Oryctolagus cuniculus: one gene and its partners. The protein of the gene in region 6 binds, or shares a complex with, the protein of the main gene of each other region. Links are inferred from orthologs where the notes say so. Each region holds a gene or a part of one and is shown on either strand. Other genes may lie near its edges.

Region 1 (3,500 bases), on a different chromosome or scaffold from region 6:
TTTAGGCCAGTTCTTAGCACCAAATGCCTTTCTTGTGCCTCCTGGAAAACTACTTAGGTCTCTTGAGGGAGGGCTGCCTGGTAGGAGGCCTGGGCTGATAGATGGCAAGTCCCTCAGCTGTTTGCATTCGAGTGACCTGAACTTTGAAAAGTCACGCCTGGGGACAGAAATCTTTATTTTGGTAACAGATGCTGCTAATGCAGATTCTGTGGTTAGCGGGCTAACTCAAGGGTGTGAATCCGCTGGCCTGCCTCCCACATCAATCTAATGACTTAATGTTCTCCCACAAAGGGGCTGGTGCTGGAGGAGACGGGGAGCCAATGGGTGTGATTGTGAAACCTGGTGGGGGGGGTTGTTTTCACTGTTTTTGTTAAGCTCCACTTACCACTGCTAACAGTATGTGTTGGAGTAACCCACTCTGATCTATAGAGTGCTCTGAAGATTTGTCTTCTCAAAGATTGAACAAATAGACTTTGCTTGACCCTTTTCAAGTGACTTCTGTTTTGTTAAGGTCTGGGCTTCCTGCAAGATTCTGGACTTTGTGTTGTGGCTGACAAGCTGAACTTCATACGCTACCTCTCCCATTTCCGCTGTGTGCACAGAGGGGCTGACTTTGCCAAGATGAGGACCACCACCGTCCGCAGGCTGCTCCCGGAATCCTGGGGCTTCCTGTGCCCTGTGCACACCCCAGACGGGGAGCCCTGTGGTCTGATGAACCACTTAACTGCCATCTGCGAGGTCGTTACGCAGTTTGTGTATACGACATCCATCCCACCTTTGTTGTGCAGCCTGGGTATGTGACCAACAGCAGTGAACGGTCTGGTTTGGGTGGATGGCTTCTAACAGGTACAGACTGTTGGGTTAATGCCCCTTTGGGGATTCTGTAGTGACTTCTCACAGAAGTTCCTTTTCACTCTTCTATGCAATAGTTGGGCTACTTTTTTGGCTTGCCTTTGGAAGATCAAATTCATTCTTTGAAAAAGGAAACAGGAGAACTTCAATGTGGGTAGGTGATTTGTTCTTTCTGAAACGAACAGTATCAAGACATTTGAACAAGACCAGCAGTTAATATTGGAAGTATAGAAGCTATTGTGTAACTTTAGTTCTCCAAACTTCTGTGGGAGGACCCCTGCCGTGTTGGTGCAGGAAGATGTTTAAAAAAAAAGGTTGTCCAGTATACTTAATGCTGCCAAGTATATAACCGTTGCTCCTGGCTACCTTGCAGCTGCTGCCTCTGCTGTGGCTTCTCTCACACTGTTCTCCTGTGTCTGATGCTTGGTTTGAGCTTACCTTCATACTTAGAATAAACAGCTTTTTCTTTGAACAGTTGCCAGTCCTGGGGTCCTCCAGTTGTGATTTGGAGACCTAGTTTGGTGGTCTGTGGGTAGGTTCTCCAGTGGGATTAAGGCTTACACATTTTTGGGTCAACTGGCATAGTTTTATGTGGTTCTGGTGAACGCCTCCACTTCCCAGGGGTCAGATGATCATAGAGTTTCTCTAGCAACCAGAGAATGTGGAGTCAGGGGTCCAGAAATGTCAGCTTACAAGTGCTTCTCCCAGTTAGAGGGGGGCCAGAGAGAAGGAGGCCCCAGAGAAAGGCATGAAGAAATACACAAGATTGAGAATGTAAGCAGTATAATTTGTACATTCACCATCTACAAGGAAAAGGATGGCTTTGTTTGCTACTGGGGATTTAAATGCCAAAGCCTGGGAGATGGGAGAAAGGCGAAAAGAAAGAAGTGGGCAGATGGGAAACGTGTCCCCTGCTGAAGAGGAGATGGGAAGGGTGGTTTGCTCCGGGCCTGGGGAAGGAAGCGACAGAGATGGTCGGGCACTGTAAACGCTTCGGGTCCTCAGGAGCTCTTAGGGGCTCCTGGGTGAGTGCCCTTTCGCCTGATGACAGGTGGTTCTTGGTGGTGGTGCTGGGTCTGTAAAGCCCCTGCCACCCTGAGTTAGTGAGTGCTGCAGTTCCAGGGGTGCTCCTGCAAGCCCCAGGTCACAGCCGCTTTGGTCAGCTGGTGTAGTTTTATGTGTTTCTAGTGAAAGCACCTTATTCAGCTTGTGCTGTTGATTCCTGGATGTTGCGGGGCACCGTGACTGTAAGTGTACCTGGATAGCGTGCAGCACAGCCTCACACCCTGAGGAGTGCCCGACAGCACTGCAGTGCTGTGCTTGAGGTCCGCGTTAAGTAGCAGAGTCGCCAACAGAAAGCAGAGAGGCCGCAAGCACTGAGCGGCCTGCACTTGTTCCACCTGTTTCCAGTGTCAGAGCTGAGGCAAAGCCGCGCGTCCCCTTGATCCATCTCAGCTGGGAATACGCACGCCCGAGTTGCGGCTGCATGTCCTAAGATGGCCTTGAAACTGCCCTTAATCTTGCTTTTGTGGTTACAAATAAAAAGTAGCAAGCAGGTAAATTATAAGTATGGAATCTGCAAATAATTATATATTTTTGAAAACAGTTATGTGTACGTGGCTCAGACGTCATACTTTAAAGAGTGTACGGGTATAGGGAGAGGCTACCTTTCCTCCCTCTCCTGCAGCTCCTCTCCCCCAAGGCTAGTTGATATGTAAACTGTTGAAGCTGTTGATGAACCCTCCGGAGGGCATTTGAGATGTTGGCTACAGGGGCCGGTGTGCTGTGGCTCACTTGGTTAATCCTCCGCCTGCGGCACCAGCATCCCATATGGGCGCCGGATTCTGTCCCGGTTGCTCCTCTTCCAGGCCAGCTCTCTGCTGTGGCCCGGGAAGGCAGTGGAGGATGGCCCAAGTGCTTGGGCCCTGCACCCCATGGGAGACCCGGAGGAAGCGCCTGGTTCCTGGCTTCGGATCGGCGCAGCGCCGGCCGTGGCAGCCATTTGGGGAGTGAACCAACAGGAGGAAGACCTTTCTCTCTCTCTCTCTCTCCAACTCTACCTGTCAAATAAATAAAAAGAAATGTTGGCTACAGCATTCTGACGTGATCATCCCGTCTGTTCCTTCGCCAGGGGTCACACCCATCGATGGGGCTCCACACCGACCGTACAGCGAGTGCTACCCTGTCCTGCTGGATGGCGTCATGGTAGGCTGGGTGGATAAGGAGCTTGCTCCCGGCATCGCAGATTCTCTCCGTCTTTTTAAGGTGATCTTCAGTCTGTGAGTTGTCGCGTCTCTGGACGTTCGGTTTTGGGTCCTTTGCCATGGATGAGATGGCCCTAGGGCAGTCTCAGGTGGTCAGCGGCCAGTGGTTTGAAGCTCATTGAAGAGCTGCCAGTACTTTCCTCCCGTGGGCAAAGGCTTGCCCACTGCTGACCTCCTTGGCAGGGTCTGTGACACGTTTGGCCCATCTGCAGTTTTTGGTCGTTTCATTGAGATCCCAATGTAATAAATTTTAACTTTTTCCTTCTTGTTAATATTAATAGCATATAAGGGATTTCAAAATATGAACATTTCAATAACAGTAAAGATACATGAGAAATATAAGAAATACAAACATCTGCCTGCTTTTAAAGGGTGAACAGAGTA
Region 2 (3,500 bases), on a different chromosome or scaffold from region 6:
AAATAATTCAACACAAATAAAAGTGTATTTAGCTCTTTTCCATAAGAGTTACTTTCTAAAAAACAAGAGTAAAAATCACAGTTATAATAATAATGTCCAAAAATACCAGTTGGCTAATATGCTGTGTTAAGAGGTTCACATATGCACTTAGATGGACAGTCATACCTACTGTTTCTCCTCTTTACATTTACAGGTGAAATTCTTGATTCACAGTAACTGCCAGCTGAATCACAGTAAAACCAAATGAAAACTAAATCACAATATTCTAGAATATCTTTTTTTCTTTCATATTGAAAAACACATCTAGGAACAACAACTACTCTGTTTCCAGTCCATCAAGGCCTGGGAGACCACACACTTCCAGAAGGGCCCGCTGCTAGTTAAAAACCGTGTAACAAGCAAAAATCTTGCTTCCCTATTTAAATACAGAGTTAAGACTCGTTTGGAGGGTTCCAGAATAACCCCCTAGATAAACCACCTGCCTTTGTTTACCCCATGCAACAGAATGGGACGTGGTCTCGGGAGGAAGGAACAGGTCGGCAGAAAATTATAAACCAAGAGCACATAGCACTTCCCTATCCTGGTGCCTTTACTGCCGCCCCTCATACATTTCAATCAACTTTTTTTTCCCCTAAAGAACAGAAAACCATTTTGTGTCCATCTGTGTTCCTACTAAAGAAAAGATCTACAGACCCTGGTATGCCTGTGACACGCAGCAGACCCTGCAAGTGATCTCTAATGTGGCCTGGGAAATCCATGCCAAGAGAGCATGTGACTCTAATAACGAGCTAGGAAGGGTCGCTTCAGCAAAGAAACTGTAAAGCCAACCTTGGGAAGAGCAAACACACATCACATTCAAACTCACCACTGGCAGCACTGACTGTTTAAGGTACTCACCTCTTCAGCACACAAGGATCAAAGGGGAAGAAGGTGTCAAGTGGGTTGGTGCAGGTCTGCACCGAGTCCCCGCCAGCTGTATTTCTAATAACTGGTAGCATCTGGCGGTTGTTCCTCTCAATGATAGTGTAGCAGAAGACGAGCTGGTATTTGCTGTGGACACCAAAATCAACACAGATGGAGGCATTACCATGCTGGAATCACTGCATGGATGTGACTTACATGTCACAACTGCACGGAGCACACAGATGTTGACAGAACAAGTGCATGAAAAAAACAACACAAAGCAGGAAGTAATGCTTTCAGGGTACTTTGAGCCTAGGACTAACAAGCCTTTTAAGGAAAAAGAAAATGTGGCTTTCACTTAAAATATGAAATTGGACTTAGATCAATAGGCATTACCAAAAAAAAAAATATCAGTATGTCTGCCAGGTAAAACTCTTTTAACACGCATAATTATATAGCTATCTTTACTTCTGCTGTTTGCAAAAGAACCGGGGTTAGTGGAAAAGGGATTCTTGGGACGGACATCGTGGCACAGCAGGTTAAGCCATCATTTGGCATGCCTGCATCATACACTGGAGGCTGGTCTGAGTCCTGGCAACTTCACTTCTGATACAGCTTCCTGCAAGGCAGCAGATGATGGCTGTGTCTGGATGGAGTTACAAGCTCCTGATTTTGGCCTGGCCTGGCCTGGCTCTGGCTGTTACAGGCATTCAGGAAGTGAATTGGTGGACAGAAAATCTATTTTTGTTGTTTTTAATTTATTTATTTAGGGGACAGCACTGTGGCAGAGCAGGTAAAGCCGCAGCCTGCAGTGCTGGCATCCCATATGTGCTCTGGTTCAAGGCCCAGCTGCTCCACTTCTGATCCAGCTCTCTGCTATCGCCAGGGGAAACAGCAGAAGATGGCCCAAGTGCATGGGCCCACGTGGACACCTAGAGGAAGCTCCTGGCTCCTGGCTTCAGATTGGTGCAGCTCCAGCTGTTACAGCCACTTGGGGAGTGAACCAGCAGATGGAACACTTCTCTCTCTCTGCCTCTGCCTCTAACTTTGCCTTTCAAATAAATAAGTAAATAAATCTTTTAAAAAAATTTATTTGTTTACTTGAGAGGCAGAGTTACAGAGAGAGAGAGAAACAAAGAGAGAGGTCCTCCATCTGCTGGTTCACTTCCCAAATGGCCTCAACGGCAGGAGCTGGCCTGATCTGAAGACAGGAGCCAGGAGCTTCATCCAGGTCTCCCCAGTGGGTGCAGAGGCCCAAGCACTTAGGCCATCCTCCACTGCTTTCCCAGGCCATCAGCAGGGAGCTGGTTAGGAAGTGGAGAAGCCAGGAACTGGCATTCTTATGGGATGCCGGTGCCACAGGCAGAAGCTTAGTCCACTAAGCCACAGTGCTTGCCCAGGACAGAAAATCTTTCTGTCTCTGTACTGTTCTGCCTTTCAAGTTGGTAAAAGGTTAAAAAGATTTTCTTTAAATAATAAACATTAAGAACAAACACCACGGATTCCAGAGTCAGTGAGGGGGAACAGGGGCTGCTGAAGGAGACTTAGCTGCTTCTGAATAGAAAATTGGGACTTTACTGAAAGCGGGGCAAGGGGTTGACCAAGTAATGGGTAGGAAAAGGAATAGGCACGGTGAGGCTAGAGATGTGAAACAGAAGAACATAATAAAAACCAACATAACCGTATGAGATCTACATCTCCTACAACCTGTGTGACAAGAAACATGTGCCTGTACACGAGGGCACACACACAAGAATAATCTTATGCTGTTGTACCCAGTACTGAAGCAAAAAACCAAATACAAATCAAATTCCGACAAAGACTTTTTTAATTCTAAAAATATTAATAGGCTATACCACAGCAGTTAAAATCAAAACAAGCTATAGTTGTCAATACAAGGGGATTTCAAAAACCTCATAGGAAAAATGGTATTAAAAGACAAATTTATTTGGGTTTGAAAAGAACTGAAATCCATGCATAGTTTTTTTGTAATACCCACACCTTCAGTAAACTTTGTGAAGACACGTCTTATGGCTGCATCCCAAAACCATGAAGAAAAACAGCAGCAACATAATGGTCCCTGGACCACTGGGCACAGACCTTTGTTTGTCTCCTACTCTCAGCCTCATCTCCTACGCTTCTGTCTGCTGCACGTGCCAACCTCAAATCCAGAGTGCAGTCCTCCGCCCTAACCCCTAAATTATTCTGGGGTCACCGCCTCATCTATCCTCACTCTGCCGGCTGCTCCCCCTCTTCAGCAGTATAGAAACCTTTTCCCCACTAAGCGTGGCTACACGTCGGCTTCTCTATTCCTTTCTGGAATCCTTCCTTACCATTTCTGAGATCCCCGAGAGACAGGACACCTTGAACTAAATGCCTACTGAAAGAACATGAGGGTTCCTGGATGACAGCAGCAAGCTGCCTAAAGGGGACTGAGGCAGGAAGACAACCATAGCCTTAACTGTCTTCATCAGTGAGGACCCCACCTGAACAGCCTCATTAAACGGCCAGGCTCTCCAGGTCTCTCTCCTCGAAGCAGAACCAAGCGAAGCGTGCACAGCCGCCACTATGCTCTCAGACCTCAGCTCTGCAGTGTT
Region 3 (3,500 bases), on a different chromosome or scaffold from region 6:
GGATCGGTGCAGCACGCTGGCCATAGTGACCATTTGGGGGTGAACCAACAGAAGGAAGACCTTTCTCTCTGTCTCTCTCTCTAACTCTGCCTGTCAAAAAAAAAATTGTGCAACTGAAATGAATGAATTGTATGGGCCAATTAGGTCTTGATAAAACTGGAGTCCCCCAAAAAAGGACTACTCTAGCTGCAGAGAGAGAAGTCTTTCAAGGAGTTTTGCTGAAACAGAGAATAGAAAACTAAGAACAAGCAGTCTGTAAAGAAAGTGGTGTCAAGTGATTATTTTCAGATAGAAATAACAATGTTTTTTATATGATGATGAGAAACATCCTACAGGGAAAATAATGAGACAGGGAAAGGAGGAGGTATTATTGGAATGAATGAATGAATTAATTAATTAATATTGGGGAATCTCAGAATTAAGAGTTCAAACAATTTTTAGTCTCCTTTAAAATAGACTAATAGATACTAAAATGCTAACAAGTACTAGACACAAACTTTGCACTCAGAATTACTTGTAGTAACTTTTGTCCACTTGTCCTACACAAGCTACTGAGTGAAGCTGCAAGCAGGAACTCCAGAATCTGTCCTTTCTTCTATCAGACTTGACTTCTGTTTACCTCCGGCGCAGCCTGCTTTTTGTAGGTATCTGAATCCTCCAAGGTCTGAAAATAGCTGTGCATATATTCTGCAGCTTCCTGCCACTGGTGCTTCAGCAGAGCTTCTTGGATAAAACGTAAACAAGCACTTGTTGTCTGAGCAAAATCCTTCTTCTTTTTCCCTCCGATCACTACAAAGAAGCAAGAGGAGCTTTTACTCACAAGGACTTCAACTATCCAAAAAACTTGCTTCTGATAAGCAGAAGTGCAAACAAGTATTAACAGTAGGAATTACCTGACCCAGCCCATTCCCAGTACTAAAACTAGCTTCACCTGAAACAAATCTTTCCGTACCATATCAACTAGTTTTATCAAATTTAAAAAAATCTAATTAGACATTCTTGGGCCACCAGTCACCAATCCTTCGATCAGATTCAATCTTTTTTTTTTTTTTTGAAAGGCAGAGTTAGACAGTGACAAAGAGAGACACAGAGAAAGGTCTTCCTTTCCGTTGGTTCACTCCCCAAATGGCTGCTATGGCTGGTGGGCTGTGCTGATCCAAAGTCAGGAGCCAGGTGCTTCTTCCCGGTCTCCCATGCGGGTGCAGGGCCCAAGCACTTGGGCCATCCTCCACTGCCTTCCCGGGCCACAGCAGAGAGCTGGACTGGAAGAGGAACAACCGGGACTAGTATCCGGCGCCCTAACCGGGACTAGAACCCAGGGTGCTGGCACCGCAGGCAGAAGATTAGCCTAGTGAGCTGCGGCGCCAGCCCTGATTCAATCATCTTTTTGTCCTTGCACTGAGTAACTGTGGAAAGTCTAACAAAGAGGCCCTCAAAAACACAGCACGGGTACTCAGAGCAAGCAGGTCATTTTAAGAAAGACTACCAATGTCCCAAAAATCCCAAAGGGTATTTTGTTTTTTAAGAACCAAGTTCCCAGGACCAGCTTTTGGTCCCAGTTGCACCACTTCCAATTCCAGCTGCCTGCTAATGTGCATGGGGAAAGCAGCAGCAGATGGCCCAAGTGCTTGGGTCCCTGTACCCACATGGGAGACCCAGATGAATTTCCTAGCTCCTGCCTTCACCCTGGTCCAGCCCTGGTCATTGCAGCCATTTGCGGAGTGAACCAACAGATGGAAGATATTTTTCTTTCTTTTTCCCTCTCTCTGCCTCGCCCTCTCTCCTAATTCTTTCAAACAAATAATCTTAAAAAAAAGGGCCACATTTTCAGTTGTAACAGTTGAAGACAGATTTTTCTATCTCTAAAGCATTAGTAATCCCATCTTAAGAATAGTTAGGCTTGGGGCCAGCACTGTGGCACAGCGGGTTAACACCCTGGCCTAAAGCGCCAGCATCCCATATGGGCGCCGGTTCCAGTCCCAGCTGCTCCACTTCCAATCCAGCTCTCTGCTATGGCCTGGGAAAGCAGTAGAGGATGGCTCAAGTCCTTGGGCCCCCACACCCATGCACCTATGTGGGAGACCTGGAAGAAGCTCCTGGATCCTGGCTTCGGATCAGCCAATTGGGAGTGAACTATCGGATGGAAGACCTCTCTCTCTCTCTCTCTCTCTGCCTCTCCTCTCTCTGTGTAACTCTTTCAAATAAATAAATAAATCTTTAAAAAAAAAAAAAAAAAGAATAGTTAGGCTGGGCTGGCACTGTGGTGTAGTGAGCTAAGCCTCCACCTGCAGGGCCAACATCCCATATGGGCACCAGTTCATGTCCCAGCTGCTCCTTTTCCAATCTAGCTCTCTGCTATGGCCTGGGAAAGCAGTGAAAGATGGCGCTGGCCCCTGTATACAGTTCTAACCTAGATTTGCCTATCTTCAAACTTTTTATTCTAAGGAGCACATCCTTTAAAATGCCAAAAGAATCTCCCAGGATAAAAAATAAGTGTTTGGCAATTTTATTTTCCTATTATGGCTAATTTCTACTACAAGATCACTATTACGTGCAAAATATTTTCTTGGGGCTGGTGCTGTGGTGCAGCGAGTTAAAGCCCTGGCCTGAAGCACCGGCATCCTATATGGGCACCAGTTTGAGACCCAACTGCTCCTCTTCCAATCCAACTCTCTGCTATGGCCTGGGAAAGTAGTAGAGGATGGCCATGTCCTTGGGCTCCTGCACCCATGTGGGAGACCCGGGAGAAGCTCCAGCCGTTGCGGTGAATTGGGGAGTGAACCAGTGGATGGAAGACCTCTCTATCTGTCTCTAACTCTCTCTGTAACTCTGTCTTTCAAATAAATAAAATAAATCTTTAAAAAGACATTTTCTCATAGAAGACGGAAAGTACTTTGGCCGGCACCGTGGCTCACTAGGCTAATCCTCCGCCTTGCGGCGCTGGCACACCGGGTTCTAGTCCCGGTCGGGGCCCCGGATTCTGTCCCGGTTGCCCCTCTTCCAGGCCAGCTCTCTGCTGTGGCCCGGGAGTGCAGTGGAGGATGGCCCAAGTGCTTGGGCCCTGCACCCCATGGGAGACCAGGAGAAGCACCTGGCTCCTGCCTTTGGATCAGCGCGGTGCGCCGGCCGCAGCGCGCCAGCCGTGGCAGCCATTGGAGGGTGAACCAGCGGCAAAGGAAGACCTTTCTCTCTGTCTCTCTCACTGTCCACTCTGCCTGTCAAAAAATAAAAAAGAAAGTACTTTGGATTTAATAGCCTATCCATACATAGCACATGAAACATCTTATGCATGTATACTCTATTTGTCTGCAGATTCGGGATCTACAATAATAGTGACAAAAACATGCCCAGAGATGTCTTAACTAGCACAAGTTCAAATTACTCGTTTCCTACAAGCAATGTGGGAGCATTCCTGCTGAAGTACCAACCATTCAAACCTAACAGATGTGTTAACACAGCAAAAAAAAAATTAACAGAGGAACAGAACTATTCTTTTTCAA
Region 4 (4,098 bases), on a different chromosome or scaffold from region 6:
GGCCGTGCTCGGTCCTGCTGGATGTGCTACCCGCCCCTCAGTCTTCTCAGCGACCTCGGCTGTCAGAGCACTGCTGTGCTGAGGCGCCCTGGTTTTACTCAGTAATTGTCCCAAATGCAAGAGCAGGGAGTGTGCAAATCGGGTAAAGCAGAGAGAAGCTGTAAAATGCTTTCTTCAAGTGAAGTGGTGAAAATTCTCCACTTAATAAGCACAGGGAAAAAAACAGTGTGGTGTTGCTTCGACCTATGATGAGAGTCAATCCTCCACTCATGAAATCGTGTTGGTAGAAGAAGTTCCTGTTACTTTTACTCTCCCATCTCAAACTGCAAGTTATCACCACAGTGCATCCTAAGTGCTTAGGTAAGAACGGGAAGGCATTACATTTACGGTTGGGTATCACCTGCGGTGGAAGGCATCCGCGGAGGGGCTGGAAGAGTATTCTCCAGGGAGGAGCGGGGGACAAACACACTCCAATCTGGCACCTTTCCCACCACGCCACCGAAACAGCTCTTACCAAAGATCGACTGCATCTCATCTAGTCTGTCTTCACATCATCCACCTTTCACCACTCCTGCTTACAGCCCATTCACCTCCGTGCAACATTTTCTCCCTTAGCTTCTGCACTCTTTGCCGGGTCACCTATGCCGAAACTCCAGATCTGTACTAACCATAAGGCAGCCCACAAGTCACACTCACTAGAGCAACTGAAATAGGGCCGGTCTGTGAGATATGTTGGAAAAGCACAATACACACCGGACTTTAAAGACTGTTTTTTGGGGCTGGTGCTGTGGTGTAGTGGGTAAAGCCACACCTGCAGTGCTGGCATCCCTTGTGGGTGCCAGTTTGAATCCTGACAGCTCCACTTCCGATCCAGCTCTCTGCTATGGCCTGGGGAAGCAGTGGAAGATGGTCCAAGTCCTTGGGCCCCTGCACCCAGGTGGAAGACCTGGAAGAAGCTCCTGGCTTCAGGTCGGCTCAGCTCAGGCCAATACGGTCATTTTGGGAGAGAACCAGTGGATGGAAGATCTCTCTCTTTCTGCCTCTCTGTAACTCTGCCTTTCAAATGCATTCGTTTTGTTGTTGTTGTTGTTATTTTGAAAACTCAGTACAAGCTGAAAGAATATTTTCAATATGTTGGGGTTAAATAAAATGTTCATTTTACCCATTTAATTTTACTTTCAGAAGTGGCTACTAAAAAATTCAAGATTACATATGTGGCTTGCATTCTGTTCCTATTGGAGGGTGCCGCTCGAATCTGACGGCTGTTGTCCTCGCCCCTTCCCCAGGCTGGCTCACCGTCACGGGATACATAGCAGCATCTGTGCGATGGCCATCTCAGGGGCACACAGAGGTGCGCAGGCCAGAGTTCCTTCATGGGACAGAACTACTGGTGGGTGAGCCAGCAAGTGGACAAGGAGCAAGACTGATTCTGGAGTGCAGATTTTGGAGACTGGGCAATCGCCGAGCCCTCTAGATTACACTGCTTTGCCAAATTCAACCTTGGCCGGGATGGTCTCCGGTTTCTCTGGCATGTGTGCAAAGGAGTTCAAGAAACCCTAACGGGCCCTGTCTTTCTCCTTAAAGGTCAGTTTGTAATGAAGGCAACGGAGCTCCTGCCATCTTACAGGCCTTGTAACTCTGTCACCTTCTGATGGCTGGAAGAGATTACGAGTAACCTTTCCCTCCAGGACTAGGCCGATCAATTCTGATCAAAAATCGCTGGAAATGATGCCAATTACACTAATGCAACGGAGACACTGAATTCTGTCCCCTCCCCCCCACACTCTGGAAGAAATTTAGCGACAAAACGTTTCACTTTTTGAAAGTGTAGAAAATGGAAAGACTTGATTGCATTCCGGCCTTAGAAAAGAAAACGAAAAAGGGACTTGACCTCAGAAAAGGTCAGATGAGTTTGAGTCAATACGTAAATGAGGTATCAAAACTACTAACCATTCTATGAGCACTCCTTTCAAGACGTTGACCATCTTTGTCCAGCCGGAAGGGGCAGAGGATCTCAACCAAGCTAATAAAAAAGGACAAGGTGGACATGTCATTCAACAGCATCGACCGGAACAAGGCAAGCCACTCCCCGTCAGTATAAACAGCGAAGTCTATCAGAGACGAAGCTAACACAAAGGAGACATGCAGCCATTCTGAGCTTCTCACAAAACGGAGTCTGTCCGGAGCTGTCCACCACGCACACATACACCTGCGGCCGAACCCCACAGCCGCGCCGCGCCCCGGTACTCCGGCTCCCCACCCGGGGGCTTGACAAGGCTAAGGTCCCGGAGGGCGGGGGAGAGGGGGCCGCAAGACCTACAGGGCGCCCAGCCTCTTCATTTCGGACCTGAGACAGGGCGAGGACCCTAAGCCGCCGTTCTTCCCGGACCGGACCGGACCGGGAGGTCGGGGGTGGGGGGACACAGCCACACTGCGGGCTCCCTCCCCGGGTAAACCGCGTCCCCCAGGCTCCGCGCTCCGAGCTCCAGGCGCGGCGGGCGCCCCCTGACCCCTCCAACCGCTACCCCGGGGCCCAGGGCACGGACACCCAGCGCCGCGTCAGAGCGGGGCGCACTCTGGCGCCCCAGCACCTGCAGGACAGACTTTCCGATCTTTCTCCTCCCTCTCTTTCCGGGAACGCCCGGTCTCCCACGCACCTCACCCCGCCGGCTTGCCCCGAGCTCGCCACGCACCGCAGCCCACAGACCCGGCGGCCCCCAGATGCCCCGCAGCGCGCGCGCGCGTCTGCCCTGTGACGTCATCGCGCCGGGGACGCTCTGTGGGAGGAGCGCGCCGCTGGGAGGCGGGGCGCGCGCTGGGCCGCGTGGGCGGGGCCACAGGCCGGCCGCCGCCGAGTGGAGGGCCGGGGGCAGGCCGCGCCGGGAGGGTGGGCTCTCCGGCGCCGGGATTCCCGGTGAGCGGTCGGGGGGCGGGCCGTGTCCGCGAGCCGGCAGGTAGGAGGACTGGGGGGCCGGGCTCGTGAGGGCGGACGCGGGCGGCGGCGCGTGGGAGCACGGTGACGGGGCGCCCCAGCGAGGTCGCGCGGCGTGAGGGGCTCTCTCCGGTCCTCGGGGGCCGGAGTGTCCTCTGGCGTCGGCTGCCCAGCTCGGGGGGCGCCGCGCGGGGCTGCCCGCGTGCAGCCGGGCGTGGAGCCTCGGTCACGGCGGAGGGGGAGCCCGCGGAGATCCCGCCGGTGCCGACCCGGCCCGGGAGCGCGCGCGCTCTGAGGAGGTGCGGGCGCCTTGCGTTGAGTTGCACCTGCCGGGTGAAGTTCGTGCGGATTTTTGCCCGTTCCCCGCGTGGGCTCTTGTGGTCCAGCTGCGATCCCCGAGTCTTCACGTGCCTTGCGTCCCGGGGCGCTCGTTCCTGGCGAGTGCCCTTGGCTCTCTCTGCCTTGCGCTCCGCGTGGGCGGTGTGCCGGGGATTCGGGGTGCTGGCCCGATGCCCGCGCCGGGGGACCCGTTTGTAACGTGCACTCCACCGCTCAGACGGAGCTGCTCATCCTCCGCCCGCCCCCTCCCGTTAAAAACCTGCTTTTCCTTCCCGTGTCTCTCCAAGTCACCCAGTTTTAAAATCTGCATCCGCTGGATCAGCGAGCACTGTTGTGCACCTGATAGGTGCCAAACCGTGTTCTAGACGTTTGCGGTCTATTGGTGAAGGTACAGAGGGCCGCAAAAATGTTAAGGACAAAATGCCAGGTGGTGACGCGGTAGGGATTGCATGGAGAGTGTCAGAAATGGCCTTTAGGTAGGTTTCTGAATTAAAAAAAAAAAAAAAAAAAAAAAAAAAAAACTGATACCAGCAAAATACTAGCAATTTTAATAATAGTAAAATAATCCGTAACTTCCAAGACTAAACATTATCTGGAAGTTAGTGAAACTAAAGCATTAGTTCCTTTAGGGAGAAAATGATAATGCTTTATTGAAACACATGGAAGACTTGAGTGACGGAGAGATACATCATATTCATGATCAGAAGGCTCGATACCAAATAGAAATCGGCTTTCCCCAGGGCTGTAAATTCAGTGCAATGCCAGTTAAAATCACTGTATTGGGTTCTCATGAAACCCGACATGCCAGACTTCAAAATTTATATAAA
Region 5 (4,037 bases), on a different chromosome or scaffold from region 6:
ACATAATTTTAAGTAGGTGGTTTAAATCTCAATTTGATGATACACATTATTTTTTCAGCAAACCGGATGTTTCTAAAGTCAGTTACCCTAAAACTCTTGGAGACCCAAATGTCTACAGGAAAAAATCTGTTTTCTTCTGGTACTCCTCCCTGTTGAACAAATCAAACATGCCTTTGAGATGTTCTTTTTCTGCCTTAAATGAACCAACACTTGGCCACCTAATGTATTCATAATCACTATAGTGGAGGCATGAAGGGAATATGTATTCCTTATGAGGTCTATGCTTAAAGAGGAAAATTGCTTACAATTTGAAAAGCCCTCAAAATACTGATGTCATTAAAGGTTCTTGGGAATTTGAAATCAGTGATTTTCAAATTTTTAAAAAATTATCCTTTACTTGAGCGAAGTTTTTTGCTAAATGAAAAGTAATTTATATTTGTCCTGATTTTTAAAGACAATTCCAGGCTCAAAATGTGGCAAATTAGAAGGTCATTAGTGGCCCAGTCAAGTGATCAACTCGAAGGTTTCTTTCAAAAGTATCAGTACTGCTGCAATCCTGGCATATTAATTGGAATCATTTTTATATTGGATACCAAATTAATATCCAGGGCAATAAACCAACACCTACTTAGAACTTTAATATTTTAAAAGCCAGTTTGCAGTAGGTCTCCTCATTCTTGTAACTCACAATTGTCCTACACAGTAATGTATGTGGATAAACTGAGGCTTTAGGAACTTAGCTGTTTCTTTGAGAAGCGTCATATCCTCATTAGAGTAAAACATGAAACACTGCTAACATTTCCTGAATACCTGATGAACAACATGCTATCATAACCAAGTTCTAGTCCAACAACAAAATCATTTAAAAAATTCCCTACAATAACACGCACACCTTTCAATACACAAAAATCGACTAAACCATCCGTGTTTTAAAATATCAAAAATGTTAACATAAAAAAAGGACTCCAATAAGAGAGCGCATTTCCCCAAACAAAGGAAGCAAATCCTAGCTACCGCATCCAAACAAAAAACTGGGGCTCTGAAAGCAGCCCTCGTCCGCTGGGAAATTACAGCCTCAGAAAAGGACCTAGAAATAAATTGAGCTCCGCACGCGCCTGCCTCTCGCCTCGGGAGCACGCACCTCCCAGCCCCGCTCAGCAGCTCTCACTATTTAAAGCCGGATCTGGTGTTTAAATGGAGAGGCGGTGACGTAGGCCTGAAAAGCACCTTCCCATCCTGGCAGAGTCTATATTAGAGAGCGGCAATGGCTCTATATAAACAGGGCAGCCAAAGGGAGGAGGACCACAAGGCTCAGGGACTGAAAAGCAGGGTAAGCGGCCGCAGCCATGATGGATCGACCCGAGTCGCCAACGGTACGGTGTCGGGCGGCCGCGGGTTTGTCCGCGGCATTCGGGACCGGGCAAAAACGTGTTTTATTGTCGTAGTAAAAAGAAGAGTTGGGTGGGCTAGTGATCACACTGCGTTGGTGACTGAAAAGGTTATTTATGTGACTGCTTTTTGCAAACCTACGTGATCGCAAGGAACCAAAAAGGGACTCACGGGAAGAAGTAGGCAAATTTCAAGGCGCAAGCGGGGCACTTTGACCACTGGAGGCTTTTTGGGGTTTGTTCTGGTGCTTTTGCTAGTTGAAGATACGACGGGGGTTTTGCTTCCCCTTCGCCATTTTACCCATTCGGAAGGAACTGAGATAAGTGCTTTTCAACCTTCGTCTGTTTTTTTTTTTTTTTTTTTAACATAAAATGGCCCCATTGAAGGTCCCCAAAGCACAACCGCCAGGAAAAAAACAAAAAACAAAAAAACCCAAAGTAATCCTCCAAGTAACCCTAAGCCTTCCACTGCGTTCAAGTGGATCCCGGCGGGTCCCGGGAGCTGGCCCAATTCCCCAGCCGCGGATCTGATTCCGAGGCCGCTTGGGGAGCCTGGTCGAGCCGGCGCCGACGGGCCCCCTTCGCGGGAAGCGGCGGCTCGCCGCCCGCCCGCCCGCCCGCAGGCCGGGGCCGGGGGCCGGGGCCGCGCGCCAGCCCGGGCCCAACGGCCTCCGCGGCCCGGACCTCCCCAGGCCCCGCCGGCGCCCCCGCCCGCCCCGCCGCCGCCGCCGCCGCCGCGAGCCCTCGGCGCCCCCCCCGCGCCCGCCGCCCCGGCCCGGGCCGCCCGAGGCGGGAAGCGGCGGCGGCGGCGACCGCGCGGGCGGCTCCAGCGCCGAGGCCGGGATCGCCGCCGTCCCCGCCCCCGCCCGGTCCGGCCGTTGCTGCCGCCTGAACGAAGCCCCCTCCGGCCACCGAACCACGTCCTTACCACGGTGTTTGTATTTGCCGAGTTCGCCATTTCCACACACAACACAAACAACACGGGGGTAACCCCGGGAAAACACGGTCAAAACAAAACCAAAAAGAAAAAAAAAAAAGAAAAGAAAAACCACCCGGAGGGCGACCCAAGTCACCACAGATTGGGGCAAAAAATGGAAACAAAATCGATTCTGAGGGAGAGGGGGAAGCGGTGAGAGGAGAAGGAAGGGGACACTCTCTCCTCCCGAAGCTAAAAACCTCGAGAAATGCCTTAAAAAAAAAAAACACGCCAAGACCCTTCGGGGGTCCGGGGGGCGTTGCCCACTCCCCACCCCGTGCCAAGGAGGGAAACCACCGGTCACCGCTCCCCGCGCCGCCGCTGCCGCCACCGGCTGCAGCTCCAGCCGTCCGGTCCGCTCGCTTCTCCCCTTTATATAGCGAGCCAACAAGCTGCGCGAGCCGCCGCCGCCGCCGCCGAGAGACAGGGCGGAGGGGGAGGGAGGGGCGGAAAGGGCGGGGGCAGAGGTGGGCGGGGCGGAGCGCGAGACACCGCGAGAAGCCGCGTGCGCAGGCGCGCCGGGGCGGAGGCCGCCTCGCGCCGCGTCGCTACGCGCGAAGGAGGGCGCTGGGCGGGCGGAGCCCGGGGACTGGAGTAGTGGAGTTGGCCCGCCGGCTCCCCAAGTCTCGCGTGATCACGTGGTTGGCAACCAGGCGGAAGTCTCCTGCAGCCCTCTGCGACCGGGAGCTTGCAAGGCATTGCTGGGAAAGGTGCGCGAGTTCTAGTGACACCCGAGGGCTCAGCTAGCTGGGAACGCCTCCTGTCAGACGTCTGCGCGCCGAGCGGCGCTGCGGGAGCTGGGGTATGGGAAAGGGGCGGTGGCCGCCGCCGCGCTCGGCGCGGCCGAGGAGGAGCGCGGGTCACGTGGAGCGGCTTCCGGGCCCCTGGCGCGCCTGGCTCGGGACAGGGTGTGAAGTGCGGAGTCATCTTGTGGCCCCGGGGCTGCGCGCGTCTGAGTGGGCCTCTTCTCGCAGGGCTGAGTCTGTTTCAAAAGCGGGTGGGAGTCTATTTGGGTCCTCGGTCTGCACGGTCCAGAATTAGCAACCTCCGAAGCCGGCGCAGCTGTTTGTCCCCACGCTGAGTCTGGGTATCAAGGATTTGGGGGCGAAGTGTCCCCAAACTTTCGGCCCCCGCTAGCCCGCGTGGTTTTAATGACTTCGCAGCCTGATGGAAATGACAAAGCGCGAAACTCCAGCCGCTGGACTATGGAAGAGCGATGACTTTGCCTGGCGTTTTAAAAATGTTGCCAACATGCCATGACTCCACGTGGCTAGCCTGGAGTGACTAATCACACGTGAAGTACGAGCCTTTGACCCACCAGTTAACACGGCCTCTCCCTGCGAGAGAGCTGGGAGCATGTGTCCGTGTCGTGGAGGGCATTCGATAGGCGTTTGACCTGCTTCACCCAAGCAAAGCCAGCTTTGATGTCAACATCTCACGCGGAACAGAGTGCGCTGTCCCGAAGGCAGAACCCTCAGTACCTCATTTTCTCTAGCCCGGGAATTTTGAGTGAGGGGGTTTATCTTCAAAAGGCAAAGCAAAACAGAATATCAGAAGAGTTGTGTGGGTGAAACCAGGTTTGAAGACTTATCAAAGGCATGCTACCAGGGGGGGGAAGATGCACCTTGCCAGGCTCCGGGAAAGGATTAGAAAAGCAAGAGGCCGTTAATAGA
Region 6 (2,658 bases):
GCGTAGGGGTGCTGGCGTCTCCAGCTGGCCCTGGGCCCACTGTGGTCACTGTGGCACAGGCAGTGAGCAGACGAGGGGCCTGCAGGTCCTGCCAGGAGCCGGGGACAGCTCTGCGATGCGGCCAACACCCTGGGGACAGCAGTGGCTCGGCCACCATGGCCCTGCTCTGCCCTGGTCCCCGTCCCCAGCTGACCGCGGGCTCGGCCCCGTGTGGGTTGCTGGGAGTAGCTGCTCCCTGGCCCTCAGCCTGGGCCCGCAGGGACAGCCCGGGAAGGGCCCCCGGGAGCCTGAGGGCGCTCAGGGCTGGTGCGACCCCGACAGGGCCACAGGGTGGGGACCCAGGCAAGGGCAGCCGCTGACCGCAGCAGGCAGTGCAGGCTCGGACGAGCAGCCACGCTGGGTGGGCGGGGACCAGGGAGCAGGAACCAGGACCCCGAGACAGCTGGGCCAGGTGGACTGGGGGGGGGGGGGCGGAGCGAGGCCAAGGAGGGGACCAGTGGTGTTTGTGCAAGGACTTTACTGGGCGGCTGGCGACATGCGTGCGCGCGGCCCGCCTCTGCTCCCGGCGTCTGACAGCCCGGCCGCGAGGACGCAGGGCAGGACGCCGCGGGCCATGGCGGGGCGGCGCTACTTCTCCAGGGGCGCGTAGTTGAGCAGTTTCTCGATGAGGTCCACGTGGGCCAGCAGCATTCGGCGGCAGCAGTAGCGCTTCAGCCCCAGGGCGTCCAGGGCGTCCCTGCGACCAGACAGCAGTGAGGCGGCCTGCGCCGGGCTCGCCCCCAGCGCGCCCCTTCCCACCCGGGGGCTCCGGCCTCCCGGCCCAGCCCGGGCCCAGCGGCCGGAGCATCCCTGCGACCAGACAGCCGGGCTCGCCCCTGCTCCAGGCCAGGTGGACAGGTCCCCCCAGGATGCACCGGGGAGGAGCCACCCAGGGCCACCCCTTCCCCACCCAGAGGCTCCAGCCTCCCGGCCCAGCCCCGGCCCGCCCTCTCCCAGGCTGGGCTCACGGTGGCCAGGGCAGCCCCGGCGCCCCCTCCCCCGGGGGCCGGGACTCCCGACCACGACCGCAGCCCCGCGGGACCCCCACTCTCAGGGAGCCACCCTTCTACTTCCGGAAACCAACGAGACGCTTCCAGAAAACTCCTGCAGCGCTGGCTCCGGGGGGCGGAGGAGGCGGCTTGGGAGTGAGAAGGCGCGACCGAGGGGCCTCGGCAAAGCAGCCCCTGCCCCTCCGCCCCGCCGCAGCCCCGCGTCAGCCCGCGGCGCGGGACAGGAGGCGCGGGTGGGCCCGGTCCCCGCCCCGCCCCGCCCCCGGGCCCCACGCGCCCGGCGCCTCACCCCTCGGTGTACTCCGCCTGCAGCAGCCCCAGGTAGGCCTCCCACTTGTTGCCGACGATCTTGCCGCACGTGAAACAGCGCACCGGGATGATCATGGCGGCGCGCACTCCGCGGCAGCCCCGCGCACTGCCGGGCCCGTCCGCGGCGCTGCAGGCCCCGCCCCGGGCGCGCCCACTGGCGCGGGGTTCCTCGGCGCCGATTGGAGGCCGCGTCCGGCGGCGCCCCCCGTCCGGCGGTTTGGTACGTGCCGCGCTACGGCGACTGGGCTCGGCCAAAAGGGCTCGGCGGCGCCGGTTCGCGTTTCTCGTGTCCGCTTGACTGACAGCTGCGCGGCGGGAGCGGACGACGCGGTGCGGCGGCGGGAGGCGGCGGCCCAGGTACTACGCGGGCGCCGGCTGGACCCGGACGCGGACATCAGCCGCGGCGCGCGAGCGCCACCTCCAGTGCGGAGCCCCAGGCCGGTCGCAGCAACAAGTGGGGCCGGGCGAGGGGCCCGGCGAGAGGGTCTGGCCCCGGGGCGGGAGGCCTCGGACGGACCTTCCCGCCTCCCGGCCCGGCCCGGCCTGGACCCGGTCGCTGTCCCTTGAGCCCTGCGCGAGGCTCGGGTCCCCGCGGGGAGTTGCTGGGAGCCCCGACGGCAGTCTGTCGGCGTCTTGTTCGCTCTTTCCCGGGCCTGGCGCTGGGCGTGTGGTCAGCCCCTTTGAGCTGACCCTCGAAGGCCAGGGCCCCCGCGTAGGGGCAGCCCCAGCTGTGCGTCCCCTTCAGGGGCTCCACGGGCGGGGCTGCTGCCTCCCGGGTGGACCGGGCTGAGCCTGGTGCCCCGGCTGCCCCAGGCGGGCTGGGGAGCCGCAGGGCTGTGGGGGTGTTGCCCGTGGCCCCCGCGGGGCTCTGGCCAGGTTTGCTGGCCTTGGATGTGTGGCCGGGGCGGGGTCCTCACGCGGGACCCCGGCATCTGCTGAGTGCCCGCTCAGGGCAGACGCTGGACAGGGACGGGGACGAAGGGTCTCAGGTCCGGAGTGGGGCTGCCCAGAGCCACTGCCCTGCCAGGGTTAGTGCCCTCTCGGCCACGTGCGGAGCCACGAGCCCTGGCCACTTCCCTTCTCTGCCTCCCTCCCCCAGGCTGAGTGGACGCACATCCTGCCCTGGCCAGAGGGGCAGGATGGGGCCGTGAGTCACCGTGGCCTGGGGTCAGACCCAGGCTCGGCGGCCGCGGCTGTGGAGGAGAGGGAGCCCGGGTCCGGGAGGCCAGCCCGGTGGGCGCCCAGCGCGTGAGTGGGGCCTTCCTGGGGGAGGGGTCAGGGGCCTGCCCCGCCCCTGCTC
Region 7 (3,500 bases), on a different chromosome or scaffold from region 6:
CCTGGGACCCCGGCGTGACTGCCCAGGACCTGCTCTTCCGTGGAGGCTACCAGTACCGCCGGCGGCCCCGGGTCGTGCTGGACGTCACCGAGCAGGTGAGTGCCCCGTGGTGCACGGCGCCGTGTGGCCGGGAGGCGGTGCTTAGTGACCCGGCCGCCTCTCCTCCCCCAGCTCAGCCGGTTCCTGTGGGACCATGGCGACATAGCCTTTGCACCCCTGGGGAAGCTGATGCTGGAGAACTTCGAGCTGGACGGAGAGCAGGTGAGGAGCTGCGGCCGGCCGGGACCGGGGCCCGCCCGGCTCACTGAGGGTCCCGGGCGTGCGGCCCTGACGAGCCTTTCCGTGCCGTGCAGAACCACTCCACGAAGAACGCAGTGGTGCTCGTGAAGAGGCTGCTCGAGGACCTCGGAGGATACCAGCCCTGGGGGCAAGTGGCCAGTGAGGGCCCGGGGGGGACGGCCCCGCGGCGGGGCGGGGGGGGCGGGAGCTGGGCCGTGGGTGCAGGTCTGTGGCAGTGCCGCCCCCGCCCCGTGAACCAGGCTTCCTGCAAAGCTCCCACGCCCGGCCGGCCTGCGGGAAAGACGTCGGAGGGGCCAGCTGGGCGCCGGCGTTCAGCGCTTGGTCAGAGTCCGCTCTGCTGTCTGTCCGCTTCCTGCTGGCCAGCTGAACTCTCAGACGGCTTCCCAGAGGCCGCGAGATGGGGCAGGGTTCGGGGAAAGAGTCGGGGAGCTCCCTGAGGCCACAGAAGTCCTAGAAAGGACTTAGGTGGGCTTGGCTCGGCTCTGTCGTCTGGGAGCCAGGCCGAGCGGCAGGCCCAGGTCATGGGACCCAGGGCATGAGAATATGGGGGGGGGGTCCCCGGAAATGCCAGTCGGTGAGAGCGCGCCCAGCCCAGCCTGGCCCGTCTCCAGCTCTTGCCCTGCGTCCCCAGGTGCCCCTGGGCGTCCCTCAGCCACCGGCAGCGCCGCTTCTCCTTCCTCGGGGGCTCCGTCCTGGGCAGGTCGGTGGCCAGCGTCCTGGGGGAGCTGCTGCGCGAGGAGCTGGCCCTGCGGTGGGAGCAGCTGGTCCTGGACGACACCTTCACGGGGGGCGCCCTGGCCTGGGTGCCCGGAAGGTCGCCCCGAGCCGGGCAGCTGGTCTACCCTGCCGGGGGCGCCCTGGACAGCCTGCGTATCCTTTCTGCCCTGGCAGTGGGGTGTGTGTGTGCGCGCGTGCGTGTACGTGAGAGTGGCGTCGGGGCTGGGTTAGGGCCTGACCGGAGCGTGTGCACTGGCCCTTAGCAAGTGCCCAGATTTCCAAGAGATCAGCCTGACCTCACGTGGCCGGCCTCGCGTCCTCGGAGCCCCTGGACGCATCCAGCTCCGGGGGCCTGTCCGGCAGGTGGTGACCTGCACCGTCCAGGGAGAACGTAAGGCCCTTAAGTGCCTCTGTGCCTCGCTCACTCGCCCGCTGCCTGACCCCTGGCCCCTGACCTCTGGCCTTTCCTCCCCCTCAGCCCTGCTGGCTGTGCGCTCTGACTACCACTGCGCGATGTGGAAGATGGGGAAGCAGGGGCCGCCCGCCCCCCTGCAGGTGCTGCAGGTCCGGGAGGGTGCCACGGGGATCAGTCTCAGGTGAGGGCCGAGTGCGGCTGGGCAGGGCCGGGCCGGCGGAAGGGGCAGGCGGCCTGACGTGCGTCTCGTGGTGTCCCCTAGCCCGCACCTGCCAGGGGAGATGGCAGTCAGCAGCCGATCTGGAGCCGTCTGTCTGTGGACCCCCCAGGATGGGTAACGCCCCCTCCCCTGAAGCCCTCCACGCCCTGGGCAGCAGGTCCTCGTCGTGGTGACCCCCACCCACCACGTGCCCGTCTCCCGAAGGCTGCAGCAGGTCTATAAGGACCCTGAGACCCTCGTGTTCCGCGACCCTTCTCCCTGGCGCTGGGTGGACTTCACTGCGCACCCTCGGGTGCTGACTGTGGGTGACCGCACTGGAGTGAAGCTGGTGGACACCCAGGTATGGGGCCCGTGCCAGCGACCCCTGGCTGCAGGAGGGCAGTGGTGCCAGTGGGTGCAGGGGCGAGGCTGACCCCATGTCTCTCCCAGGGCCCACCCGGCTGTGGCCTGCTGCTGTTCCGTGGGGGCGCAGAGGCCTCCTGCCAGAAGGGGGAACGTGTCCTGCTCGCCCAGTACCTGGGGCAGCCCAGCCCCGACACTCTGCCCCCTACGCTGCACCTCATCTGTACCCAGGTGAGTGCCCCCCAGCCCCACTCCACCCCCTGCTCCGTCTCAGTCGCCCGGGCCTGAGCACAGATGCACAGAACGCTGAGGGATGGGTGTGGCCTAAACACAGCCCGTGCTTGCAGACCGAGGGAGGGCAGCCGAGGGCCCCAGGCGGCAGTGGAGAGGCGTGGGGGGGCAGCCGAGCGCCCTGTGCTCTGCCCTCTGCCCTGCCTTCTCCCCGCCTGTCACCACAGCGAAGCCCGGATCAGGGCCCAGAGTGGGTGGGGACGCCCATGGGAAAGGCAGGTGGGTTTCTGTGTGCTGAGACCCCCATAGCTCCTCCCGGGCCCCCTCTCCCCAGCTGCCTGGGCTGTGGACCAGGCTGGGCATCCCCACCTCAGCCACACCCCTCCGCCCGCCTCTTTCTCGCCCCCAGTTCTCGCTGTACCTGGTGGACGAGCGCTTCCCCCTGGTGCCCATGCTGAAGTGGGACCACGGCTTCCCCTCCCCGCCCCTGCTCGCCCGGCTGCTGCCCCCGCCCCGGCCCGGCCACCCACAGCCCCTGCTGCTGGGAGCCCACGGTGGGCAGCTGCAGCTGCTGCAGGTCACAGGTGCGGGCCCACGAGGGCAGGGGTGGGGGCGGCAGGGCCGGCCCTGAGCAGGCCTCAGCTGTCTGTCTGTCTTCTAGGAAACCTGACCGCTGCCCCCAGGCTGGCAGGGCCCCCCCAGTCACTTCCTTCCAGGACCGACTCTCTCTCTGCATTTCCCCTGCTGGAGCCCAAGAGCCACTGGCAGCTGCAGGAGCGCCTGGGCGCGCCAAGCATAGGTGAGCTGGGGGGGAGCTGGGGGGAGCCGGGCTGGGGGCGCGTGGGCCAGGCCTCCAGGTCATCGTCCTTCCACCTCCAGGTCTGGCAGCTGCCTTTGTCCCCGCCGCCCCGACGCCGGCGCTGTCCGTCTTCCAGCTCTCCGCAGCGGGAGACATCTTCTATCAGTACCTCCACCTGCGGGCGGACTCCAGCCTCTGCCAGGACGAGCCCAGGCCCGGCCGCCAGACCTGCGAGGCAGCAGCACCTGCCCCGGACAAGCCGGCCACACCCCCCACTTCCTGGACCCCACAGGCCACCGCCTGCTGCAGCCGATGGCTGGATGCCCTGCTGGAAGTGCCCCCGACTCCGCCCGTCTGGGCTGCGCCCACCTTTTCCCACCGCCGACTGCTCCCACGACTGCTCCTGCAGCTCGAGCCCCAGCAGGTTGGGGGGAAGGTTCCGGAAGCTCTCCGGGCAGCCATGGCTGAGGGCCGGC

The links.
Region 1: the proteins of POLR2L (region 6) and POLR1B are in contact, whole or in part, in a cryo-EM structure (PDB 7OBA), measured with the Homo sapiens proteins. The link is inferred for Oryctolagus cuniculus from reciprocal best matches to the Homo sapiens genes POLR2L and POLR1B. Residues at the interface, in NP_066951.1 of Homo sapiens: Met1, Ile2, Pro4, Arg6, Cys7, Phe8, Thr9, Cys10, Gly11, Trp18, Tyr21, Leu22, Leu25, Gln26, Glu31, Gly32, Arg42, Tyr43, Cys44, Arg46, Arg47, Met48, Leu50, Ala51, His52, Val53, Asp54, Leu55, Glu57, Lys58; in NP_061887.2 of Homo sapiens: Leu16, Leu19, Thr20, Asp21, Pro22, Tyr24, Gly25, Pro27, Ile157, His160, Glu161, Glu162, Ala163, Phe698, Leu701, Thr702, Arg713, Gln715, Thr716, Pro717, Gln718, Ser719, Leu721, Asp733, Asn734, Pro736, Asn740, Ala741, Ile742, Asn760.
Region 2: POLR2L (region 6) and RRN3 share a complex: the UniProt entries of both Homo sapiens proteins name them as parts of the pol I pre-initiation complex. The link is inferred for Oryctolagus cuniculus from reciprocal best matches to the Homo sapiens genes POLR2L and RRN3.
Region 3: POLR2L (region 6) and TAF1A share a complex: the UniProt entries of both Homo sapiens proteins name them as parts of the pol I pre-initiation complex. The link is inferred for Oryctolagus cuniculus from reciprocal best matches to the Homo sapiens genes POLR2L and TAF1A.
Region 4: POLR2L (region 6) and GTF2H5 share a complex: the UniProt entries of both Homo sapiens proteins name them as parts of the TBP-based Pol II pre-initiation complex. The link is inferred for Oryctolagus cuniculus from reciprocal best matches to the Homo sapiens genes POLR2L and GTF2H5.
Region 5: POLR2L (region 6) and GTF2A1 share a complex: the UniProt entries of both Homo sapiens proteins name them as parts of the TBP-based Pol II pre-initiation complex. The link is inferred for Oryctolagus cuniculus from reciprocal best matches to the Homo sapiens genes POLR2L and GTF2A1.
Region 7: POLR2L (region 6) and TAF1C share a complex: the UniProt entries of both Homo sapiens proteins name them as parts of the pol I pre-initiation complex. The link is inferred for Oryctolagus cuniculus from reciprocal best matches to the Homo sapiens genes POLR2L and TAF1C.

What each region holds. Positions count from the first base shown.
Region 1 is NC_091433.1:113,624,438-113,627,937, forward strand, and holds part of POLR1B (DNA-directed RNA polymerase I subunit RPA2), read left to right. Parts: intron 1-511; coding exon 512-793; intron 794-2,983; coding exon 2,984-3,117; intron 3,118-3,500. UniProt on the Homo sapiens protein: Catalytic core component of RNA polymerase I (Pol I), a DNA-dependent RNA polymerase which synthesizes ribosomal RNA precursors using the four ribonucleoside triphosphates as substrates.
Region 2 is NC_091450.1:18,617,051-18,620,550, reverse strand, and holds part of RRN3 (RNA polymerase I-specific transcription initiation factor RRN3), read right to left. Parts: intron 1,051-3,500; coding exon 898-1,050; intron 1-897. UniProt on the Homo sapiens protein: Required for efficient transcription initiation by RNA polymerase I (Pol I). Required for the formation of the competent pre-initiation complex (PIC).
Region 3 is NC_091444.1:36,964,311-36,967,810, forward strand, and holds part of TAF1A (TATA box-binding protein-associated factor RNA polymerase I subunit A), read right to left. Parts: intron 790-3,500; coding exon 620-789; exon of another isoform or gene 515-619; intron 1-514. UniProt on the Homo sapiens protein: Component of the transcription factor SL1/TIF-IB complex, which is involved in the assembly of the PIC (pre-initiation complex) during RNA polymerase I-dependent transcription.
Region 4 is NC_091436.1:9,585,004-9,589,101, forward strand, and holds the start of GTF2H5 (general transcription factor IIH subunit 5), read right to left. Parts: upstream 2,801-4,098; 5' UTR 2,658-2,800; intron 2,024-2,657; 5' UTR 1,986-2,023; coding exon 1,951-1,985; intron 1-1,950. UniProt on the Homo sapiens protein: Component of the general transcription and DNA repair factor IIH (TFIIH) core complex, which is involved in general and transcription-coupled nucleotide excision repair (NER) of damaged DNA and, when complexed to CAK, in RNA transcription by RNA polymerase II.
Region 5 is NC_091451.1:27,055,452-27,059,488, forward strand, and holds the start of GTF2A1 (transcription initiation factor IIA subunit 1), read right to left. Parts: upstream 2,801-4,037; 5' UTR 2,347-2,800; coding exon 2,317-2,346; intron 1,698-2,316; exon of another isoform or gene 1,561-1,697; intron 1,374-1,560; exon of another isoform or gene 1,268-1,373; intron 1-1,267. UniProt on the Homo sapiens protein: TFIIA is a component of the transcription machinery of RNA polymerase II and plays an important role in transcriptional activation. TFIIA in a complex with TBP mediates transcriptional activity.
Region 6 is NC_091432.1:353,577-356,234, forward strand, and holds POLR2L (DNA-directed RNA polymerases I, II, and III subunit RPABC5), read right to left. Parts: upstream 1,504-2,658; 5' UTR 1,434-1,503; coding exon 1,339-1,433; intron 737-1,338; coding exon 628-736; 3' UTR 501-627; downstream 1-500. UniProt on the Homo sapiens protein: DNA-dependent RNA polymerase catalyzes the transcription of DNA into RNA using the four ribonucleoside triphosphates as substrates.
Region 7 is NC_091449.1:65,916,349-65,919,848, reverse strand, and holds part of TAF1C (TATA box-binding protein-associated factor RNA polymerase I subunit C), read left to right. Parts: coding exon 1-95; intron 96-171; coding exon 172-261; intron 262-353; coding exon 354-427; intron 428-931; coding exon 932-1,170; intron 1,171-1,291; coding exon 1,292-1,613; intron 1,614-1,694; coding exon 1,695-1,766; intron 1,767-1,856; coding exon 1,857-1,992; intron 1,993-2,081; coding exon 2,082-2,225; intron 2,226-2,634; coding exon 2,635-2,809; intron 2,810-2,886; coding exon 2,887-3,024; intron 3,025-3,104; coding exon 3,105-3,500. UniProt on the Homo sapiens protein: Component of the transcription factor SL1/TIF-IB complex, which is involved in the assembly of the PIC (pre-initiation complex) during RNA polymerase I-dependent transcription.